Canis lupus familiaris: one gene and its partners. The protein of the gene in region 1 interacts with the protein of each later gene in a biochemical or structural test. Links are inferred from orthologs where the notes say so. Each region holds a gene or a part of one and is shown on either strand. Other genes may lie near its edges.

Region 1 (7,301 bases):
CACTGTTTTCCCAACCCCTACCCGAAACAGGCCAGACAGGCTGGAGACCCTTGTTTTTGTGTCTCTAATCACCAGCTCAGACAGTGCCCTCTGGGCTGTTTGGATGGCATATCCCTTTCCCCTCCCAGGATCACTCTCTCTTTTGTTGCATTGTGAGAAAATTACAGCTAGGAATTTGATCTGGAGCCAGTGTCAGCTTCCGGGTATGATCTCAGCATCCAAGTGTGAGCTCAGGGTGCTGTGACGTGGGGCACATCTAACGGAGGAGCTTTTGTCTCGCTGGCTATGGCCTCTTCCCTCCCTGCCCATCCCATCGTCCAGGCCACAGAACAGGGAGCAGCACAAACAAGGCCCTGAGATTTGGGTTTATTCAGCTCCACCCAGAACTAAACCAAAGGCTATGACATGTCTCAAGGGACCAAACCATACATTGTGGGCCATGCACTCTCCCCCTCCCCCCAAGGATGCGGCTACCTCTGGGGCGGTGGGCAGCTGCTCATACCACCGCGGGGGGTAGAAAGGGGTTCGCTGGGTGCTGGCTCAGTGACACTCAGGGCTCAACCCTGGTTGCCTCCTCCTCTTCGTCTGGATCGGGAGGTGCAGGGAGCAGGGAGATATAGACCTCATTGACCTCCGTGTCCAAATGTCGGCCACCCCGAGGTGCCTCCAGGTTAAGGATGCCATCGTGGGAGAGAGCCGCCCGGACCCGCCAGGGGTCCACATCGGCGGGCAAGACGTAGGTGCGGCAGAACTCCCGGGACACGAAGCCGTGGCGGTCCAGGCGCTGGGGGTGCCGGGCAGACACCTCCAGCAGGTTGTCCACAGTCCTTACGGTCACCTCGTCGGGCGTAAAGTGGCTCACGTCCAGAAACGCCTGGAACTTGCCGTCGCTGAGCCGAAGCTCAGACGCCCCTGCCCTGCTACCCTCGGCGGCGCGGGCGGCCCGGGGCCGGACATAGTAGCCATGGTAGAGGGTGGGGGTCAGGATCTCTTCGGGCAGGAGGCCTGAGGGGCAGGATGAGGCAGGATGAGCCGGGGACGAGGGGTGAGGGCCAGGGAGGGCGGGGGGGGGGGGCAGGAGGGGGCCAGGGGCCGAGATGGGGGTGCAGAGGGCAGGCCGGGCGGGGACCGCGGGACAGAGGGGAGCACGGGCCCAGCCAGGGGGTCAGGGCCGGGCATCTGCCCCGAGGTCAGCGGGAAGGGGACCGAGCCCTGCTTGGCGGGGGCGGGGGCGGGGGGGGTCCGGGTGGGAGACGGCTCGCCCCAGGAGTTCAGTTAAGCCCGGAGTGGGGTGGAGGCCAGCACTGTCGGGAGGTCAGCCCGGAATCTCAGGAGGTGGGGGCGGGAGGCCGGGGGTGGCGTCTGTGCCATACCTTCTCCGAAGCGCTGCTCGCCCAGGCGGCTGGGGTTGGCGAATTCGTACTCGGTGGTGGCCGGGTGGGCGTGGGGCACCGAGCGGCCCGACATGGCTGCGAGGCGTCGGCGGCTCTGCTCCGAGCTGCAGCCCCAACAGAGCAGCGACCCCTCCAGCTGCGGGGCCGGCCAGGGCTCGGTCCGAGGTGGGGGCGGGGTCTACACCACCCAAAATAGTGCGGAGCCCGGGGTGGGGGAGGGGCGGGGGCCGGGCCCCTGAGCGCCAGCGACAAGTGTGTGACCCGCGCTGCCTGGACCCCCGCGCCCCCCCCCCCCCCCCGCACGCCCTGCAGCTGTCGCAGGCGGCCCGAGGGGACAGCGGGGGGTCCTGGCTGGGCAGCGAGCTGGAGCTGCGAGCTGCGAGCTGCCGCGGGAGGCCGGTCCCGAGGCCCTGCAGCGGCCTAGCTGCGACCCTCACCCTCACCGTTGGCACATTTTCCACATTTCCTCCCTCTGTCCTCCTAAGTCCCGGGCACCCTACACCCGACTGCACAAAGCTGTCCCGGTTTTAACGTTCTGCCGCCGTGTAAGGTGAAAGATGCAAGAAACTTTCCCACCCTTTTTTGGAGTGGGGTGAAGGGTCTTCTGCCCAGACGAATGTCAGGGTCCTCTCCTGAACCAGGGTCAAGCCCGGGCGCCACACAGATATCTGCCTGGCGCTGACTTGCTGGTGATGGCTGCTCTCCTCCAGGGACCCATAAAGAGTTAATGTCCCTGGGGCCCAGCCTAGGAAGATTCCAGTTCCTGCCCAGGCCCAAGATAGTCACTGGCCCAATTCCCCTGGCACGCTAGGCTGGAGAGGAGGAGGAGGGGCACAACAGCCGCCTGCTTGGGATTCCTGACTCCCTCCCAACTCCAGAGAAGGGGGTGTGGGGGGGCACTACTGGGTGTGGACGGAAAGCTAGTGCAACAGGACCAGGACAAGTCACTGGCCAGCTCAGACGTGTTTGTATTTCTCTTTTCTTAGCTCAGTGAGTACTGGGTATGTGTCACACTGCCAAATCCCTGATCACAAGTCTCCATGAACGGGTGGTGAGCTGGGATAATAAAACTCCTGACATCACCATTCCAGAAGCTTCACAAGACTGCGTATATAAGGGGCTGGCTGTAGCTGCGGCTGAAGGAGCTGACCAGCCAGCTGACCCCCTCCACTCAACCTAGCCACCATGGACATCGCCATCCACCACCCCTGGATCCGCCGCCCCTTCTTTCCCTTCCACTCCCCCAGCCGCCTCTTTGACCAGTTCTTCGGAGAGCACCTGTTGGAGTCCGATCTCTTCCCAACTTCTACTTCCCTGAGCCCCTTCTACCTTCGGCCACCCTCATTCCTGCGGGCACCCAGCTGGATTGACACCGGGCTCTCAGAGGTAAGTTTCTGCCAGGAGAGGAGAGTTCTTCCTAGAACCTCCTGGAAACATATCCACCTGCTCTCCTTTTTCTCTCTGCCTGAATATGGCTATGTCTAAGCATCTTAGGCACTTGTACGTCCACCAGGGTTTAAGAAACACTAGGCTACTGGTTCTTTCCACCAGTTTACCTGTTTGTATTTGATGCTCCACTGTGTCCTACTTACTGCCTTTTCTCCACGGGCTGTGAAGATCGCCCTCTATCTCCTAACTTCTAAGTAGGATGCCCCTTTCTGGTTTGGTTCAGAAAGATCTACAGGGAAAGAGCTGCCTTCAGACTCCTTTGCTCGCCTCTTCTGATATCTCATACTCCTGACAAATGTTAGCATCTCAAGTTTCAGAGTCAGGAAACAGTCCTGCCTCATTCTGAGCTTTTCACTTCCACTGAATGGAGCTGAAGACAGCAAACACTGTTTACTTTCTTTCTATTCCTTCCTCTAAGATTTTCCAGGTTTCTCAGCACTGTGACAGGGCACTGACCTGTGTCCAAACCTGATAAGAACAGGGCATAAGTCCAGTCTTGGGACCCCCGCTTGTCCTAAGAGGGTGGGAGAAAGGGGGTGAACAGATAAGCTTGACAGAGCTGTCACAGAGAACGCTTTGGTTTAAAAATAAATATTCAAATGTGAGTAAACAGGAGCTGAGTGAGCAAGGGCTTTGGAAGGACAATCAAGACCAGCAGAACATTCCAGATTGAGTGGGTGGGAAAATTGGCAGGGGCCTGAGTAAAAAGAAAGGGCCTTTGTCTCACAGACAAATGACAAGGCCAGGCATTGGGGTCAGAGAGGCAGCAGGAGCCGTGTCCAGATCCATCCTTGCGATTGCTCCCCTGGGTAGCCTGTCTTTCTTCCTGTCCCTGTACATGAAATTTGGGTCTGATGACCGTGAGGCATGCCTTGGGTACCACTCCAGTGGCTCCCCTGAACCAGAGAGCCATGTTTATTCAAAAAGGGATTTTGACCCAAAAACAGAAGGATGAACTACCTGGAGAGAAAGCGAGTCTGCAGAACGAAGAGACTGCACTGATGCAATCCACATTCCTACCATCTTTTCTCCTACCCTCTCCTCTCTTGCTATTTCTAGATGCGTCTGGAGAAGGACAGATTCTCTGTCAACCTGGATGTGAAGCACTTCTCCCCAGAGGAGCTCAAGGTCAAGGTGTTGGGAGATGTGATTGAGGTGCATGGCAAACATGAAGAGCGCCAGGTGTGTAGTGTGTTTTCTCTTCTGCTCATTCATCCACTGTGTGCTACATGCCAGACTCTACCGTCAGCCTCTGAGCCTGGCAACTGTCCAGTCTTAAGCCATGAGGGTCTGGGACCGGGACAACCTATTTTTGTTTGGGCCAGAGAAGAGGTCTTATTGTTTGTTTTGATATGATTGCCTTAGGTGGGATATATGGGATGTTTATTTCCCATTTAAGCCAGTGGTATTTGGCCACCTTAGAATCATTAGGGGAATGGAAAAGAAAAATCTCAGCGCTTAGACATATCCCAGACCAATTAAATCAAATTGTTTTAGAAGTGGGCCCCAGGCATCAGCATTTCTAAAAGCTCCCTAGGTTATTCTAATAAACATTCAAAGTTAAGGACCACTGATTTAGGAATAGTGCTTGTCAGACACCAGGTTACTTTACATAATTAAATGAATTGCGCGTATCCTGAAGACCTTTGACTTTGAGCCTTTCTTTTGGATGTTCCAGAATGCTCTCATCTTTAGCTCATCTAAAATGCTGAACTACTTGGGTTTGTCTAAGTTTCAGAGCTGCATTCAGCAGCTAGAACCCTGAAGCCCATGTGGAAATCAGTTCATTGATAGCCTGTCTGCATAAATCCTTGAGATTGAGCTGTATAAAGGTTGGGGTCAGGTAGTTTTTAGCAGAATTCTAGAGAATGAAATAGCTTCTCATTAATTTCTGGGAGGGTTTTTAAAAGAGTCTGCTTCTTACCGATTATTGAGAACCCATATACTTGTGCATCAAACAGTATAGTTTGAGGTCCTTGGTCTGTTTCAGCTTTGTTTATGTGATTTAAGTTTGGGTCATAGTCTCCCTGGATGAAGTTTTATTGTTGTCGTTGTTTTAGCAGTGGTCCTGTTGGTCTGGGACATTCTGGGACATTCCTGAAGAGTCAGGATAATTTCTGGACTTCTTTAGGGACTCAGATCTTCAGTGCTGAATGATATTTCAGTAGGCCCAACACTGATATAAACCTTTGGGAAATACTCCTAGAGATATCTATGCTTCAGTTTGAAGAGCTGTGCAGTTTTCACTGTTTCAGATTTCTCAGACTCTCATTGGTGGGAGTGACCACTTAGGCAACTTTTTTTTTAGCCCCAAACAGAACAGTCATTTGGTTTTTTCTTGTTGCAGTGGTGTATGGTCACATGTCAGAGGAAGGAGAATGTCTGAGTTCTCAGCAAGTGGTGCCATTTCCTATTCTTATCTCTCTCTTTCTTCTTTCTCTTGGATTAGGATGAACATGGTTTCATCTCCCGGGAGTTCCACAGGAAATACAGGATCCCAGCCGATGTGGATCCTCTTGCCATTACTTCATCCCTGTCATCTGATGGGGTCCTCACTGTGAATGGACCAAGGAAGCAGGCCTCAGGCCCTGAGCGCACCATTCCCATCACCCGTGAAGAAAAGCCTGCAGTCACTGCAGCCCCCAAGAAATAGATGCCCTTTCTCTAACTGCATTTTTTAAAACAAGAAAATTTCCCCACCAGTGAATGAAAATCTTGTGATTAGTGCTGAAGCTTATTAATGCTAAGGGCAGGCCCAAATTATTAAGCTAATAAAATACTATTCAGCAACAGATAACTGTCTTGTGTTTGAATATTCTGTATTTTTAAAAAATAAATGTAAAAATACAGCAGATCCATTTAATCACATTATGATTTAGGGGACTCTGGGGATATTAAGTCAGAATGGCTGTCTCTACTACTTACTAATAGTATAAATTTAGCAAGTCAACCTTTCTAGTCCTTAGGTATTACATTTGTAACACGTGGAGCTGATTTGTACACTTGTAAAGAGTAAATCCAGGAGGAAATGTAGGTAAAAGCCCTTGTCAGAGTTCAAGGAATATCAGTTCCTCTCTCTCCTCCTCTGATTTTGGCACTCATTTTCAACAACAAATCTGAAAGAACTCTGGATAAATATGCATAAAAGACCTTAGTGAGTCTCTGCAGTTAATCCTGTTGCCAGGCAGGAGGTGGTATGCCAAAAGTGATATTTTCCTACTGATAAGCAATGCCTTCAGCTAATTCGCAAGAGAAATGAATAGGATTTGAGTTACTATCACCAAACAAGCCTTTCATTTGTAATCTCCAAATTATTTATCAAATATCTTGGATCTAAGACTGGGAAGGGGTGCCTGGCTGGCTTAGTTGGTAGAGCATGCAATTCTTAATCTTGGGCCCCTGAGTTTGACCCCCACATTGTATATACAGCTTAATAAAAAAGTAAATTAAAATATTTTTAAAAAGGGATCCCTGGGTAGCTCCGCGGTTTGGCGCCTGCCTTCAGCCTAGAGTGTGATCCTGGAGACCTGGGATCCAGTCCCACGTCGGGCTCCCTGCATGGAGCCTGCTTCTGCCTATGTCTCTGCCTCTCTCTGTGTGTCTCTCATGAATAAATAAATACAATCTTTAAAAAATATATATTTAAAAAAAGAAAAAACAACGAAGACGGGAAGCATCCAATAACCCTCCTCCTAAAAAAATTAAGTTTCAGAATTATTAATAATTGATCAATAAGTAATTCTATTATTCAGCTTAAACAAAGATGTATTACTCTACAAAAACACCCCCATCCCACTTGTGGGTTCAGACAAAACTTCTGACTCAACTAGTGAAAAATAGCTCTGGTATAGGTTATCTGGCATATTTGTTCACAAATACTACTATTTTTCTGTAGTAGCTTCTACCTAATTTCTGATTTCAAGGACTGACCACAAAGTAAAGTGAGATTCTTGCCTTCACAAAGCCTACAGATTGGGGATTGGCTACGCTTTTAAAATCTTCTACATGAGGGACACTTGGGCGGCTCATTTGGTTAAGCATGTGATTCTTGACCGCAGCTCAGGTCTTAATCTCAGGGTTGTGAGTTGGAACTCCATGTTGGGCTCCACGGTGGGCATGGAGCCTACTTAAAAAAATAAAAATCAAATATTCTGCCTGAAATAGTTGCCAAAATTTTTCGTGCTGTAGGAGTGTGGAGCTAGGACAATATAAATTGCAAATCTATACAGGTTCAAAATATTTTCTCCTACAACACAACTTCCTAACAGCCAGAAATGCTGTGATCTAGCCAGAAGTCAGATTTCTCTAAAATTAACAGCTAATTTTTGTGGCTGTGTAACAGATACAGGTGGTTGCCTAACCAACCTATTTACCACCTTCGTCTTGCTAACAGCTCCATAGATTGATTTAGGTATCACCATATTCTAGCCATGTGCTTCAGGAAAGTGAACCAAGCTC
Region 2 (7,565 bases), on another chromosome or scaffold:
AAAAATTTTTTAAGATTTTAATTTATTCATGAGAGACACAGAGAGAGAGAGAGAGAGAGAGAGGCAGAGACACAGGCAGAGGGAGAAGTAGGCTCCCTGCAGGGATCCCAGATCTCCAGGATCAGGCCCTGAGCTGAAGGCCGTGCTAAACTGCTGAGCCACCTGGGCGGCCCTTCACTACTGTTTTAAATTTCATGCCCTACTCAACTCTATCACATAGAGCACTGAAGGGCAAAAAGAATTACTATGTAGCTTTAGAGAGATCCACCACATCTGGCTTCCTGCCTTCTGCCCACTTGGATTCTAAAGAAACAAGAATGCCAGCCTTCACCTTTCTAATGATCTACTTTAGCAGTGCTTCCCCACACCCATGCATTCATCTGTTAACAATCTAAAGGCCACTGGGGGGCACGTACCTGGGTGGCTCAGTGGTTGAACATCTACCTTTGGCTTAGGTAGTGATCCCCGGATGAGTCCCATTATCCCTCCCCTATCTCTGCCTCTCTCATGAATAAATATAAATAAAATCTTAAAAAAGGCCACTAGGATAGACAAATGCAGTTATCCCACCAGTAGCACATGAGGAGGATTTACTCTCCATTTTTCATCTTCAGCCCACCTAGCAAGCACCAAGGAACTGACATCCCTTTGAGCAGGCTGATAATCAAAGTGAAGACACATAGATTTGGGTGCTTGCCTTTAAAAGTTCTAGGCTGTACAGAGTGCCTGGCTGGCTCAGTTGAAAGAGCATGTGACTCTTAATCTTGAGGTCGTGGGTTCAAGCCCCATGTTGGGTGTAGAGATTACTTAAATAAATAAACTTAAAACATCTTTAAAAAAGATTTATTTATATTTATTTATTTATTTTTATGATAGACACAGAGAGAGAGAGAGGCAGAGACACAGGAAAAGGGAGAAGCAGGCTCCCTCCATGCCGGGAGCCTGATGCGGGACTCGATCCCCGGACTCCAGGATTGTACCCTGGCGCCAAACCGCTGAGCCACCCGGGGATTCCCAACTTAAAACATTAAAAAAATAAAATAAAAGTTCTGAACTGAGAGCCTAGCTAATATTTCACAGAAAAAACTTAACTTTTGTTGAACCCGATTTCTAACTAGGATTAATACAAAACACGTTCAGTGATGTAGATCTACTGTAAAGGAATTATAAGTATTAAATACATGTCTTGAAAAAGTCTAGAGGGACGCCTGGGTGGTTCAGCAGTTGAATATCTGCTTTTGGCTCAGGGTGTGATCCCGGGGTCCCGGGATCGAGTCCTGCATCAGGCTTCGTGCATGGAGCTTGCTTCTCCCTCTGCCTGTCTCTGCCTCTCTCTCTCTGTCTCTCATGAAGAAATAAATAAACTCTTTAAAAAAAAAAAAGTGTAGAAATACTTAACACTTTTGGCTTGATTTTCTCAAAGTCATTGAACATCTTGGCTTAGAGGAGCAGTGCTCAATGGTACAAGAAATAATTATGATTTGTTAAGTCACAATAGTGTTAAAAGAGAGAACAGAAATAAATCAGTGGCCATACTCTAACTCCCGACCCAAATCCAAACTCAGATCACATGTGAAAAAATAATACATCACAAAGATAAGGCATCCACAGCTAATACTAAGACCACCGTTTAGTAGAAATTCATTTGGGTAAACAAGAAGTCGAATAATCTGAACTAGTATCTCTTTCCAACTCAGGTGTTCATTAAATTACCTGAAAGTGGATAGAGTGGAACAATGTAACAATGACTGGCATTTGTGTCACCTAGCAAGGTTAAAAAAATCTCTTCTCAGAAAAGTGAAACTACATCTGACCTTGAGAATCAAAGTGGTAGGGGTCAGTGTTCCCAGATCAGGAAATGAATTCTCTTTGCTTTCCAAAGCCTACCTTAGCAGCAAAAGTAAAATCAGTTAAGCTTTAGGCTGATCTGAATATTCAAGGCAGGTGCTAGCAATGCTACAAAGTGAACAGGCTTCCTTCTTGCTATCTTGGTTATTCTACTGAGATCTCAGGAAATTTCCACTGGAGTTTTTTGGGCTTTGCTAGTTTTTAAGGATCAAAAGCTTTCAAATGGCTTCCAATTTACAGGTTTCTGGGGTCCTCAGGATCATTTCTACCAGTAAAGTCAACAAAACAAAACAATACTGATTCTACAATTATGTAGCACTATCATCCCAAAAGCTTCCTGGGCTTCCCCAGAGGCTTAAAAAAACAAAATGAATTCAAAAACTAAATTCTAAAGGCTTTTAAAAATCACTGAAGGATTAAATGATCTGGTCTGGGTTAGGAGCTCTGGAATGAGCTAATTATGGTGTCGTGTCCCCTATTCTGCCAAAACACTATCTAGAACTCGCCTCATTTCCCAAGGGGCCTTCCTTACCCTGTTCCCTGGCAGCAGCAGAAGCAACAGTCAAGTAAGACAAGTGTCTCCCAAGTAAGACAAGTGTCTCCCAAACGATCAGCCTCCACCTGCTGCTGGGCACCCGGAAGAACCTCCATGCTAGATTCTACAGGCTTCACCTCATCTGCCAGCCATGCAAGCTAACACACAGCACGCCAATGCCATCCTAAGACTTTCCTTTCCTCCAGGTGCTGGCAGCTTTAATCTGCAGGAGAAAGTGTAAGTTCTCTGCAGAAGTCAAGGTCACTTGTGGGACTGTCCCTGCCTGGATTAAAGGGCTGGGACTCTCTCCTCAAAACAGCAGTTTCTCTATTTAAAGGGTTAAGTGACCCAGGCACCAAAGCCCTGGCCATTTGAAATTGAAAGCACCATTACCTGCAACAAGATTCCTATGATCCAAAGGCAAGAACGAACATTCAAGTAAATGAGGGCCTCAAAGAACGAGAGGGCTCTCTCCTGGGTAGACTTCAAAGCAATAGCTAAGCCTGAGTGAGCAAGGAGTAGGACCGGTCATGTGACTTTGGCAGCACTATCTCCAGTCCAGTATCTTCACTTTCTGGCCTGCCGTTTGAAGGAAAAATCTTTCTGGTTCTTTCTGCAATCATTATGTGATAATCATGCAGAAGGTCTTACAGAAGGGCTCCACCCCACCCAGGCTCCTCCTATACGAAGAGTAAGTGCAAGAGTCCCAAGGACAAAGAGGACCCAGTACCACTCTACCAGCAGAACTGCTAAGGCTCGGTCACTAAAAGCTTCAAAAATTGGGTTGGAGAAACAGTAAGAAGCAGTTTGGGAGCCGACAAGGCCCTCTCCGCAAAGCAGAAGCCGAAGCCGGCCACGGCGCAGCTCACCAGGGGCAGTGCACGGAGCCGGCCGCCGGCCGCCTCTCCTACCCCCGCACCCCTCTCCCCAACGGGCCCTTCCCCTAAGTCCGGAGGCACACGACACCGAGGCTCTCCAGCGGCAGCTCCTTTCCGGGGCTCCCCCGTCCTGGCCGAGCCGGCTGACAGCAGCGTCCGGGCTCTCCGCCCGCCCAAGACCGCAGGCCGGAGCGGGCAGCGCCCTCTTCACCCCCGGGGGCAGGAGGCCAGCGGAGCACATGGCCTGGGAGCGCCACCGAGGGCTGGCGGCCAGCCAGGCGCCGGGCCCCTTTAAGGCGCGCAGGGGTGTGAGGTGGAGGGGAGGGGACCCCGGCGCCCGAGGGCCTGCAGTCGCCTCAGCCCCACCCTGGGGCCGCGCGCTCCCTCCCGGAGTTGCTCACCTTGGCTCCGAAGAGCCGGGCGGCCGCAGTGAGTAGAGCCATGACGGGCGAACGCGGGCTTCCGGCGGGGAGGCAGGACCGGGAGAGCTGCGGCCGGGGGAGCCGCCGCCGCTGCACCGAGGGCCGCGCCGACGGGCCGACAAGGTTGAAAGGAGGCGGCTGAGGGAAAGGGGAGACGAGCCGGCGGCGGCGCCCAGCCCGGGGTCCTCGGCGAGGCCCCGCCCCCCGCCCCGACTCGCTCCCGCCCCTCCCAGGGGACTCGCCTCGGGCCCGGCCATTGGCCCGGCGTCCGCGGGGGCGGGACCTGAGCCGCTGACAGCGGGCGCGGCGGGCAGGATTGGACCGCCGGGCTGGGCCGGGAGGGGGCGCGGAGCTGCCTAAGTATGTGCCTGCTAACTCCGTTAACTTCCTCCTCGGCTTCCCTTCTCGCCCTCAGCGGTTCGGGGTTAGCTCTGAGGGGAGTGTGGGAGGAGGGCTCTGACCGAGGACTCCGACCTCAGAGGGCCTCGGAAGCCGGTCCCATCCTGTACCGTCGCGGCCACCGACCACTGCCTGCCCCTCCTACCAGCTGGCGGTCTTTCCTGAGGAATGCCTTTGGTCAGTGACTTAATGGCCTTAGAGGTGACGTCATGTGGACAGGCTATGATGCCAGCGCTGGCTGCCTGGCGATCCTTTGAGGTCAGCCGAGGCCACGGTATATCTTTATAGATAAAGAGACCCCTAATACATGGGGAAGGAAGGCAAAGGCGGGAGGCTGGTATCCAGTGCTGTTTACGGGCCGTCAGCTCTGCGTCCAGTGCGGGGAAGTCGAAGTCTTACAGATGCCCCTTAATATGAAGGCTTCTGAGGCCGCCTACCTGGCTCAGCCGGTGGAGCATACCACTCTTGATATCGGGGTTGTAGGCTGGAGCCCCACCTTGGGTGTAGAGATTACTTAAAAAAAAAAATCTTAAAAAGAAAAATGACAGTTTTCCAGCACAGGCCAGAACCTCTGGGTCTCAGCCACTCTAGTCACATAACCCCATGCAGCCAGTTCACCCCACATCTAGCCAGACATAAGGGCAAAAGTTGCAGACCAGCCCCACATCCAAAATCAGGCATTAAGCACCCTCTCCTTTTGTCACATCACTTCCATGGAGCTTCTGGACCCCTGCTCCTACTTGGCTGTCTTCTGTACACTCTTATCCTATGCTTGCCAGGGATCATTAAATGAACCACAGTACTAAAGTGATCTTTCATATCACTCTTGACTAACTTCTCTAGGAAGACAAGACCTCAGGACCTTTGCACTTCCTAAGAGTATCATTGTCATTGACCTAGGGGCACGGTGAAACTGGCCCAAGGACCAGGGCACCTTATCTACAAACCCCAAGCCCCAAATAAACAGTTCTTTTATCTCTTCACAGAGCAGTAACAAGATTCAGAAGTCTCAGTACCACCTAAACCAGGTTTAGATAGACCTTTTTTTTTTTTTTTAAGATTTTATTTATTCATGAGAGAGAGACACACACACAGAGGGTGAGAGAGAGAGAAAGAGAGAGGCAGACACAAGCAGAGGGAGAAGCAGGCTCCATGCAGGGAGCCTGACATGCGCCTAGACCCCGTGTCTCCAGGATCACACCCCCAGGGCTGAAGGCCGAGCTAAACCGCTGAGCCACCAGGGCTGCCCTTAGATAGACCTCATTTATTTTTATTTATTTTATTTTATTTATTCATGATAGGCACACAGTGAGAGAGAGGTAGAGACATAGGCAGAGGGAGAAGCAGGCTCCATGCACCGGGAGCCCTAGTGAGATTCGATCCCAGGTCCCCAGGATCGCGCACCCTGGGCCAAAGGCAGGCGCCAAACCGCTGCGCCACCCAGGGATCCCGATAGACCTCTTTTATAAAGAACCTGGTTTATAGCTTGAGTGGGAAAGAGAAAGAAAGCCACTATTTCTCTTCCCAAGTTACCTTGTACTTAGTTTCAGACCTACCAACCAATACTCCTCTGATTTAGGGTTCAGATAGGTAGGACTTAGGAAGGAACTTCATAAAGAAAAGCCAGGCAGAGCCCCAAAGGAACATTGACCTCAACTACCTTCTCGGTGACTTCAAAGTTCCACTTATCAATATTTGCTCCCAATTTAGTATCTTACAGATATTTCCTCCTAACCCTAGAATAGTCTGACCTGGTTTCTGCTCTCTAGTTAATTATCCACAGACACCAACCAGCTGACCAGGGGCCTGAACTCCAGTGCCCGCAAGACAGGAGGCATTTTCAGGATGAGGCTACCAAAGGGATATTAACTATTATTATTAAAATGTTTTTATTTTTTTTAAGTATTTATTTATTCATGAGAGACACACAGAGAGGCAGAGACACAGGCAGAGGGAGAAGCAGGCTCCATGCAAGGAGCCCAATGCGGGACTTGATCCTGGGACTCCAAGATCACAACCTGAGCTGAAGGCAGATGCTCAACTGCTGAGCCACTCAGGCGTCCCCAAAATTTTATTTAAGTAATCTCTGCACCTAATGTGGGACTCAAACTCACAACCATGATATCAAGAATTGCATGCTTTACCTTCTGAACCAGCCAGGTGCCCCCCACTCAAAGAGATAAATCAGAGTGGCCATAAGGGTAACCTACTTTGGAGCTCTAATGATTGGAGGGAAGGTGAGAAACAGCAGTGCTTTTGACACCGTGTCCTGGAGACTAGTGTTATGAAGGCTTTATGGGCTTGTTTTGAAGTTGTTTAGTCTTGACGTCAACTACTATAAAGCCAGTGGGAAAGCCCAGGGATCAGAAGGACTAAATGTTACTTCACAGAAGCTAACTTAGAATCTCTTTCTAAATGTGAATGGGACCTGGGGAAGAGAGAAGAAAGGGAGGACTGCTATGAATAAAGCAACCAAATGAGCATTAGGTCCAAATACAACTAAGTGCCTGAGGAGAGGGGGCAATGGAGAGAAGGCTGACAATTGAGGTCATATTGACCTTGCAAGATCCTCTTTAAAATGAAGAGGCAATGGTGCCCCCTGGTGGCTATGGGTAAGCTGGGGGTGAGGGGAATGCAATCCAAACTTCAACTTAAACTGCCTGTATCAGTAATAGCTAAAATTTATACTTACAGGGATGCCCAGGTGACTCAGCAGTTGAGCATCTGCCTTTGGCTCAGGGCCTTATCCCAGAGTCCTGGGATTGAGTCCCACATCGGGCTCCCCAAATGGAGCCTGCTTCTCCCTTTGCCTGTCTCTGCCTCTCATGAGTAAATAAATAAAATCTTTAAAAAAAAAAATGTATACTTACAATTTTCAGGTACTATATAAATATGGTACACCCATTATCTTAAAATTAATCCTCACAACAAGTCTAAGGGATGTAGGTAATAGTATCTTTACAGAGGAGGAAACCAAGGTTTAAAGTATCCAGCTAAGGATTATAGTTCATAATTGGCCAGAAGCTGTATCTTAACTACTAAGCTGTATTGTTTTTATGGTGATGAATGTGAATTATCAGCTGCAACTCAGGATGGGGACTTCTGAGTCATTGTTAACTGCCTCCTGGGCACATCAGCTCAATGTGTTCTATATTTTTGTGTGTGTGTGTGTGTTCTATATTTTTAAACATTTTATAAAATAAAAACTATAGTCTTACTTATCTGTAAAACCTTTGTACATCCATACCTGAAATAAAGGTATGAGAGACGAACATTTAGCACCTAAAGTGACCAAGGAGTAGGATAGATTTCTTCAATGAATAATCCGTCTGGAGAGATAGCTGAAAGTTGGATAGAATGCCTTTTCACTATTGATTATTAGAGTCAGAGGGCATGTGTCCAAACTTAGAGGTAGTTTTCAAACAAAAGTACTAGTGTACACAGACACTGGGGACTACATGGAGAATCCACTACAGGGAATGA
Region 3 (6,915 bases), on another chromosome or scaffold:
GACAGTGACACAAGCCAAGAGGTCCCATGGCCTGTTGGCACCTTCCCTGACTTATTGCTTCTAATCCCCTCCATCACTGCTTGTGGAAGCTCAACCAATGGGAAAAAAAATGGAGGCTCCGCAAGTGAGAGGCAAAGCAGGGACCCCAGTAAAAGTCTATCTACCGGACTTAAACCATCTTTTCCTTTCTTCTGTGCTGTCACCTCAACCTCCAGCCCAGAGGCCATGTCACTGATATGTGTTTTGTCTTCCAGAAACCCTTCCAACCACCAAGATGGCTCAAACTAACCCCATGCCGGGGTCCGCGGGGCCATGGAAGGTAAGCTCACCTCCATCACGTGGAATACTGAGCCGTCCCACAGGGCAGAGCATGAGATATTGCCATAGGGCAGCCCCCAGGGCTGTGCTTTGCATGGGGGAATGACTGGCAAGTAATATACCAGTTTTAGGGCGAGGGTCTACCCAACATCCATATGCTGTCTCAGGAAGGATCTTTCAGGATGCCCCATTTGGACAGAAGGATGACCCTGGAAGCCCATGATGGTGGAAGATGACACCTAGTTTTCTAGGTCACCTCTCCTCCACACTACTAAAATAATCTTAAAACAGAGCAGCCCAGGGGCACCTGGCTGGCTCACTAGGTGGAGCATGCAGCTCGTGATCTTGGGGTTGTGGGTTGGAGCCCCATGTTGAGTGTAGAGATCACTTAAAAATAAAATAATTTTTAAAAAGAATTAAAAAAAAATAGAGCAGTCCGGAGTGGATGATGCTGCCATGGAGAGTGGAGCATTTCTGGAGTCCCAGAAATAAAAAGAGATTTGCTACCAGATCCCAAACAAGGTCTTCTCACTCTCAGCCTGAGGTTGATTGTAACCATTGCCTGAAGTGGCTGATCCTTAGCTTTTCACTATTTTCCTCAACACCCCTACCCTTTTCACTGGGTTAACTCTAAGGACAGCTCACAGCTTTGGGAGTTTGTCCTCTAGCCAGGTTTAAGAGCCAAATTCTAGTTCAAGGTATGAAATGGGTTTATCACAAATCTCCATTTACACCTTGCATTTCTGTATTGAATATGACTGGAGAAGATAATAAATAACCCACAGGAAGTTCTGGGAGTCTCAGAGTCCTTACTTCTGGGCCACATTTATGCAGAAAGTAAGGTGGAATAAGAGTTTATGAGTCCTTGGCCTGTCCACTAGACCAGGCATTGTCCTTGGCAAACAATTCCTATCATAAACCAATCCTTACACTTCATCCCTTGCCTGGACATGTAAACACCACCAACCAGTGGTATAATCCAAACTCCTTCCTATCCTGTCTATACTGGAAGAGACCTTACCAGACATCCTGGGCTACAGACCAAAGTTAAGCTCTTGACCTGGGCCTCTGCTCTTCCTGAAGTACCACATTCAAACTCTGTTTTCCCATTCAATTCCATTCAGATAACCATCTATGATCAGGAGAATTTCCAGGGCAAGAGGATGGAGTTCACCAGCTCCTGCCCAAATGTCTCTGAGCGCAGTTTTGATAATGTCCGGTCTCTCAAGGTGGAATGCGGCGCGTGAGTATGGACCTCAGCAGAACCTTGGGACCCATATTTGTGGTCTCTGGAGACATGGGGCCATAAAGGTGGGGATAGGGAAAAAAGATGTTCCCCCAGATTCTAATCATTTCTGGGAGAAAGGCGTCCATATGGAGGTAGTCTCAAAGGAAATCACTATATGTGTAATTTAGTAACTCAAAGCTAGAAGGAACTGAAGATTCTAGTGGATTGGTAATAGATTTGAGGAGGGGAGCATTAAGGAAATGTAGACCATGGGGTGGGGCAGTGACAGGAATCAGATCTGTGCCCCTAGAGCTCATAGGCTGCTACATAGGATTCTCTCAGAAGAGGCACAGGACCCTTTAGTTTGTCTTGCCGACAGAAAAATAGAGGAAACCCGCAAGCAGCAACCTCTTTCCAGCTAACTCCCTCCTGCAAAGGCACTACCAGCTAGTTTCTCTGTGTAAAAAGGAACTCAACTCTAGGACGTGAGAGCTGTATCAGGTCCCAGTTAGTCATTCAGGAGTTTCTTGTTGATGATTAATTTCTTGGACGAATTAGACTCGTGGTTTGTTTCCTGACTCTTTGGCAGGATAGTTGAAGCCTTTACCACCAAGGAAAGGTCTCTCCCTTAGCCTAAGTGAAGCTGGCATAGCACACAGAGAGGCTTCCGGCTTCCACAAGTTGTGGGCCACTAAACTGAGTTAACCATTTAAAGGGAGTAAAATACTTTAAGATGTCACTGGTAGCAGAGACTTGGTTGTGAAAAGTGGACCTGAGGTGTTTTAATAAATAAGGAACAGGGATGCCTGGGTAGTTCAGCTATTAAGTGTCTGCCTTCGGCTCAGGGTGTGATCCTGGAGTCCCAGAATCTAGTCCTGCATCGGGCTCCCTGCATGGAGCCTGCTTCTCCCTCTGCCTGTGTCTCTGCCTCTCTCTCTGAGTCTCTCATGAATAAATAAAATCTTTAAAATAAATAAATAAATAAGGAACAGGTGTGTGACAGCAGGAGCTAGAACCCACAAAGTTATCAGGAAACAAGAGACTAGTAATCCATCAGCTGCCTGTCCATCCCTTTGCTTCCTTAGGGAGAAGCCAGTAGGTTTGGCTGGAGCCAAAGCAATAGTCAGTCACTAGATCCTGAACCTAGAGCTCCAAGTAGAGAATAAGGTGACTTGGAGAGAAAGGAAATCTAATTTCAGACTGACTTTGTTCATACGCATTACTCAGGTCAGTGAAGCAGACCCTTTCAGTGGATAATCCCCAAACAAACATTACATTCACAAACCTGCTTCAGGTAGCTGCCAGCTCGTTCCCCGCCTCTTGTGACAAATGTATCACTTTGCATGGCTCTCTTGGAATTGGCTTGATAAGCCGGCTTCTCCCCTGCCTATGTCTCTGCCTTTCTCTGTCTCTCATGAATAAATAAAATCTTAAAAAAAAAAAGGTGCCTCTCCCTGAGGCCATGTAGGCTCTGAACACCACCAACAAACCCCACTGCTTGTCTCTGGCAGCTGGATTGGTTATGAGCATACCAGCTTCTGTGGGCAACAGTTCATCTTGGAGAGAGGAGAGTACCCTCGCTGGGACGCCTGGAGTGGGAGTAACGCCTACCACATTGAGCGCCTCATGTCCTTCCGCCCCATCTGTTCAGCCGTGAGTCTGAATTTTTCACTTCTGTGCACGTGGGGGGATGGTGCAAGAGAGGGTGCGTGTGGATGGACATTTAGTGCTACTTCTCATCAGTTACGTTGAAATGCAGCAGGAAGGATAAAAGAGAGAACATTGGTCCCTCTGTTTCCAAATTTGCCCTTTGATTTTTTCCCTACTAGAAGGTATTTTCATTAAGCTAAAAGATTGGCAGAAGTGTATACTTACGAGGGCAGATCTTCAGTGCAGTAGGAGAACTAGTGAGAGCTAGGTTTGCGTTTTTGTACTACATACAGGTTAGTCTCTGCCTTAATGTTTGCGTAGTATTCATATCCCCTACCAGACTTTAGGTTATTTCCAGCACTGTACACACACATACACACACAGCCTTACTTTTTCTATTAATTTCTGTGATCTTTTCTCACATAAGTGAATATTAACTCCCTTGGTTGGCTGTGTGTTTCTTCCTGCTCTTATTATATTTTCTATGATTTTTGTTGCCCCAAAGTATTATATCAATTATTTGTACATTTTAAATGTTACGGTATTAAATTTGATTGGACAGGATTGAGTATTTTTATCTCCATATCTCCATATTGAAACATTCTTAAAATGTAAACCAAAAGCTTTTTTAATTTGAAAAATGTAGAAATTAAAGAATTAAGATGACAGCCATCAACACGGGTACTAAATGATTTAAAATTTTTTTGCATTACAGAATCATAAGGAGTCAAAGATTACCATCTTTGAGAAGGAAAACTTCATTGGACGCCAATGGGAGATCTGTGATGACTATCCCTCCTTGCAAGCCATGGGTTGGTTCAACAATGAAGTTGGTTCCATGAAGATACAATGTGGGGCGTAAGTACAAAAGACAGGGATGGGGCACATTTCAAAGTAACTCTTGCAAATGTAAACCTTGTATTAATACATCAATGGTTATAGTTTATGAGATTTCATACATTAGTATATTGGTATGGCTGACACATTCTAGTTATTAGTAATTTTCAAATTTTAAGTTGTTGGTACCAACTTCTACTTAAGGTCAGTGTTTCCCCCTCTTAAATATTTCTCTATGTAATTATTTGTTGACTACTCTTTTTAAAAATTTTTTATTTTTTTAAGATTTATTGAGAGCAAGAGAATGCATAAATAGGGGCAGCTGCAAAGGGAGAGGGAGAGAAGATTTCCCACTGAGTGCGGAGCTCCATCTCACAACCCTGAGATCATGACTTGAGCCAAAATCAAGAGTCAGATGCTTAACTTACTGGGCCACCCAGGCGCCCTTTTACATTTTTTTTCATGATCAAAAGTTAATTTTCAACTAGCTATAGCCATATTATGTTCACAAATGGTGCTTGGCACATTTAGAATGGCTGTTGTTTTCTAAACGTAAAAGCATTCCATACCAATTGTGTTGATGAAAGAGACTCAGGTTGTAGGGTACTGACCCCTTTCCTAACTAGTTTTAATAATCTAATGTGCTTTGGATTTTCTAGCTGGGTCTGCTACCAGTATCCTGGATATCGCGGGTATCAATATATCTTGGAATGTGACCATCATGGAGGAGACTATAAACACTGGAGAGAGTGGGGTTCTCATGCCCAGACTTCCCAGATTCAATCAATTCGCCGTATTCAACAGTAGTGGATTGAAAGCTCCAAGTAAGAGGAACCTTGCTAAGCAATCTAGTTTTATGTTAGCTGCTGAAATCCACAATAAATGTCATTAAAAAAAAAAAAAACACACACACAACTGTGTAGACTGAATGAACTACCACGCTTTTAGTTTTACTTTTTATTCATGAGAAACAGAGAGAGAGACGCAGAGACAAAAGCAGAGGGAGAAGTAGGCTCCATGCAGAGAATTTGATGCAGGACTCAGTCCCAGGACCCCGGGATCATGACCTGAGCCAAAGGCAGATGCTCAACCACTAAGCCACCCAGGCACCCCAGTTTTACTGATTTTTAAAGATTTCATTTATTTGAAAGAGAGCAAAGCATGAAGGGGGGGAGGGGCAGAGAGAGAAGGAAAAGCAGGCTTCCTGCTGAGCAGGGGGCCCAACGCAGGACTCAATCTCACTACCCAGAGAGCATGACCTGAGCTGAAGGCAATGCCTAACCGACTGAACCACCCACATGCCCATTTTTTTTTTTTTAAGATTTGAAAGAGTGTAAGTGCAGGGGGGTGGGGGAGGGCAGGAGAGAGAAACTTAGGTAGATTCCATGATCAGTGGACTGTCCGGCACACGGCTCTATCTCACAACTCTGAGATCAAGACCCTGAGATCACAATCTTCAAAAACAGTTGGATGCTTAACTGTACCACTCAGGTGCCCTTTTAAGTAGGCTCCAAACCCAGCATGGAGTCCAACATGGAGCTAGAACTCAGGACTGTGAGATCAAGACCTGAGGCACCCAGGCATCCCATTTTTTTTTAAGATTTTTATTTATTTATTCATGAGAGACAGAGAGAGGCAGAGACATAGGCAGAGGGAGAAGTAGGCTCCACGCAGGGAGCCCAATGTGGGACTCGATCCTGGAACTTCAGGATCATGCCCTGAGCTGAAGGCAGACGCTTAACCACTGAGCCACCCAGGTGTCCCCCACCATACTTTATAAATCACACCTATGGGGCTGAGAATTTTTAAAGACAAGCTTCAATAAAACCCCCAATTCCCTTTGTATCCTTGCAAGTCACTCAGCAGGCCAACTGACAATTCTTCCTTAACTCAAAGAACATAAAAGCATATGAAATGTATCAGTCTATATAGTGACAAACAAACACACTTATGGTAAATGTTTTTACATCTCTTCCCCACATTCCCTACTCTAACATGTTGATGTTAGCACCGATTTTTTTCAACTTGTGACAAATCAATGCTATACAAACTTAGGAAGTTTCTCAAATATGCATTGCCATGTATTTCAACATAAAGTCACAAATTCAGAATCTTGGCAACTTAGATCTAGTTGCTTAACTGCTTAGTTTAATTTTGGCTTCCTATTCCAATTGAAGAACATTAAGGATCAATGGGCATTAAGGAATAGGATAGCTGTTCTCACAGGTCATTTTAAAATAAATATGCCAATTCTAAGCATCTGTATGATTTGCTTTAAATCAATGACATATGACCATGGTACACTTAAGACTTAATTTGTACATCCCACAATCTTAGTTTTCAGTATATAACTTTTAAAAGCACACAAAAGATAACACAAACACCTCAGAAACTTTAAAATTTTTTATTCAACAATGTACACTTATTGTCTCTTAATTTGATCTACAAATTTCTCAAGGTTTTTTTTCTGATAAAATAAGTAAATCTGGGTATGGATGTTGAGTGTTTGTAATTTATATTTTTAAAACACTGAACATGGAGTAAGACATCAATAAAGGAAGATCATCATGTAACTGACACTTCCTCAGAATCCATGACATCAGAAACAGCTATGGCAAATACCTAAGCAATTAGCAAAAGGGTAAATTTCTGGCCACTGTTCTTTTATCTAGAAAAGGCCTATCTTTTTGACTGGGCAAAAAAAAAACACTGAAAAAAAATAGTTGGGAGAGGGAAAGAAAAATATCCTCCAACATAATTATAGTCCAATTATCCTTTCCCGCAGATCGAGAAGAGGTAACTCAGCTCCTAAGTGTTGATGCACACAAGACACAGAAATTACTTTGCTCCTTCAATGTTTGTTCTAACACTGAACATAAGTG

What was found.
Region 2: the proteins of CRYAB (region 1) and CS form a complex in vitro, tested with the Homo sapiens proteins (3 studies listed by BioGRID). The link is inferred for Canis lupus familiaris from reciprocal best matches to the Homo sapiens genes CRYAB and CS.
Region 3: the proteins of CRYAB (region 1) and CRYBA1 form a complex in vitro, tested with the Homo sapiens proteins (2 studies listed by BioGRID and IntAct, with this or other methods). The link is inferred for Canis lupus familiaris from reciprocal best matches to the Homo sapiens genes CRYAB and CRYBA1.

Annotation. Positions count from the first base shown.
Region 1 is NC_049226.1:21,212,990-21,220,290, forward strand, and holds CRYAB (alpha-crystallin B chain), read left to right. Parts: upstream 1-2,326; 5' UTR 2,327-2,579; coding exon 2,580-2,780; intron 2,781-3,902; coding exon 3,903-4,025; intron 4,026-5,292; coding exon 5,293-5,496; 3' UTR 5,497-5,637; downstream 5,638-7,301. Other genes in the region: HSPB2 (heat shock protein beta-2), read right to left, coding at 551-1,005, 1,374-1,467. UniProt on the Homo sapiens protein: May contribute to the transparency and refractive index of the lens. Has chaperone-like activity, preventing aggregation of various proteins under a wide range of stress conditions.
Region 2 is NC_049231.1:960,440-968,004, forward strand, and holds the start of CS (citrate synthase, mitochondrial), read right to left. Parts: upstream 3,883-7,565; 5' UTR 3,705-3,882; coding exon 3,663-3,704; intron 1-3,662. UniProt on the Homo sapiens protein: Key enzyme of the Krebs tricarboxylic acid cycle which catalyzes the synthesis of citrate from acetyl coenzyme A and oxaloacetate.
Region 3 is NC_049230.1:43,345,286-43,352,200, forward strand, and holds the end of CRYBA1 (beta-crystallin A3), read left to right. Parts: intron 1-254; coding exon 255-319; intron 320-1,442; coding exon 1,443-1,561; intron 1,562-3,057; coding exon 3,058-3,199; intron 3,200-3,911; coding exon 3,912-4,054; intron 4,055-4,692; coding exon 4,693-4,840; 3' UTR 4,841-4,935; downstream 4,936-6,915. UniProt on the Homo sapiens protein: Crystallins are the dominant structural components of the vertebrate eye lens.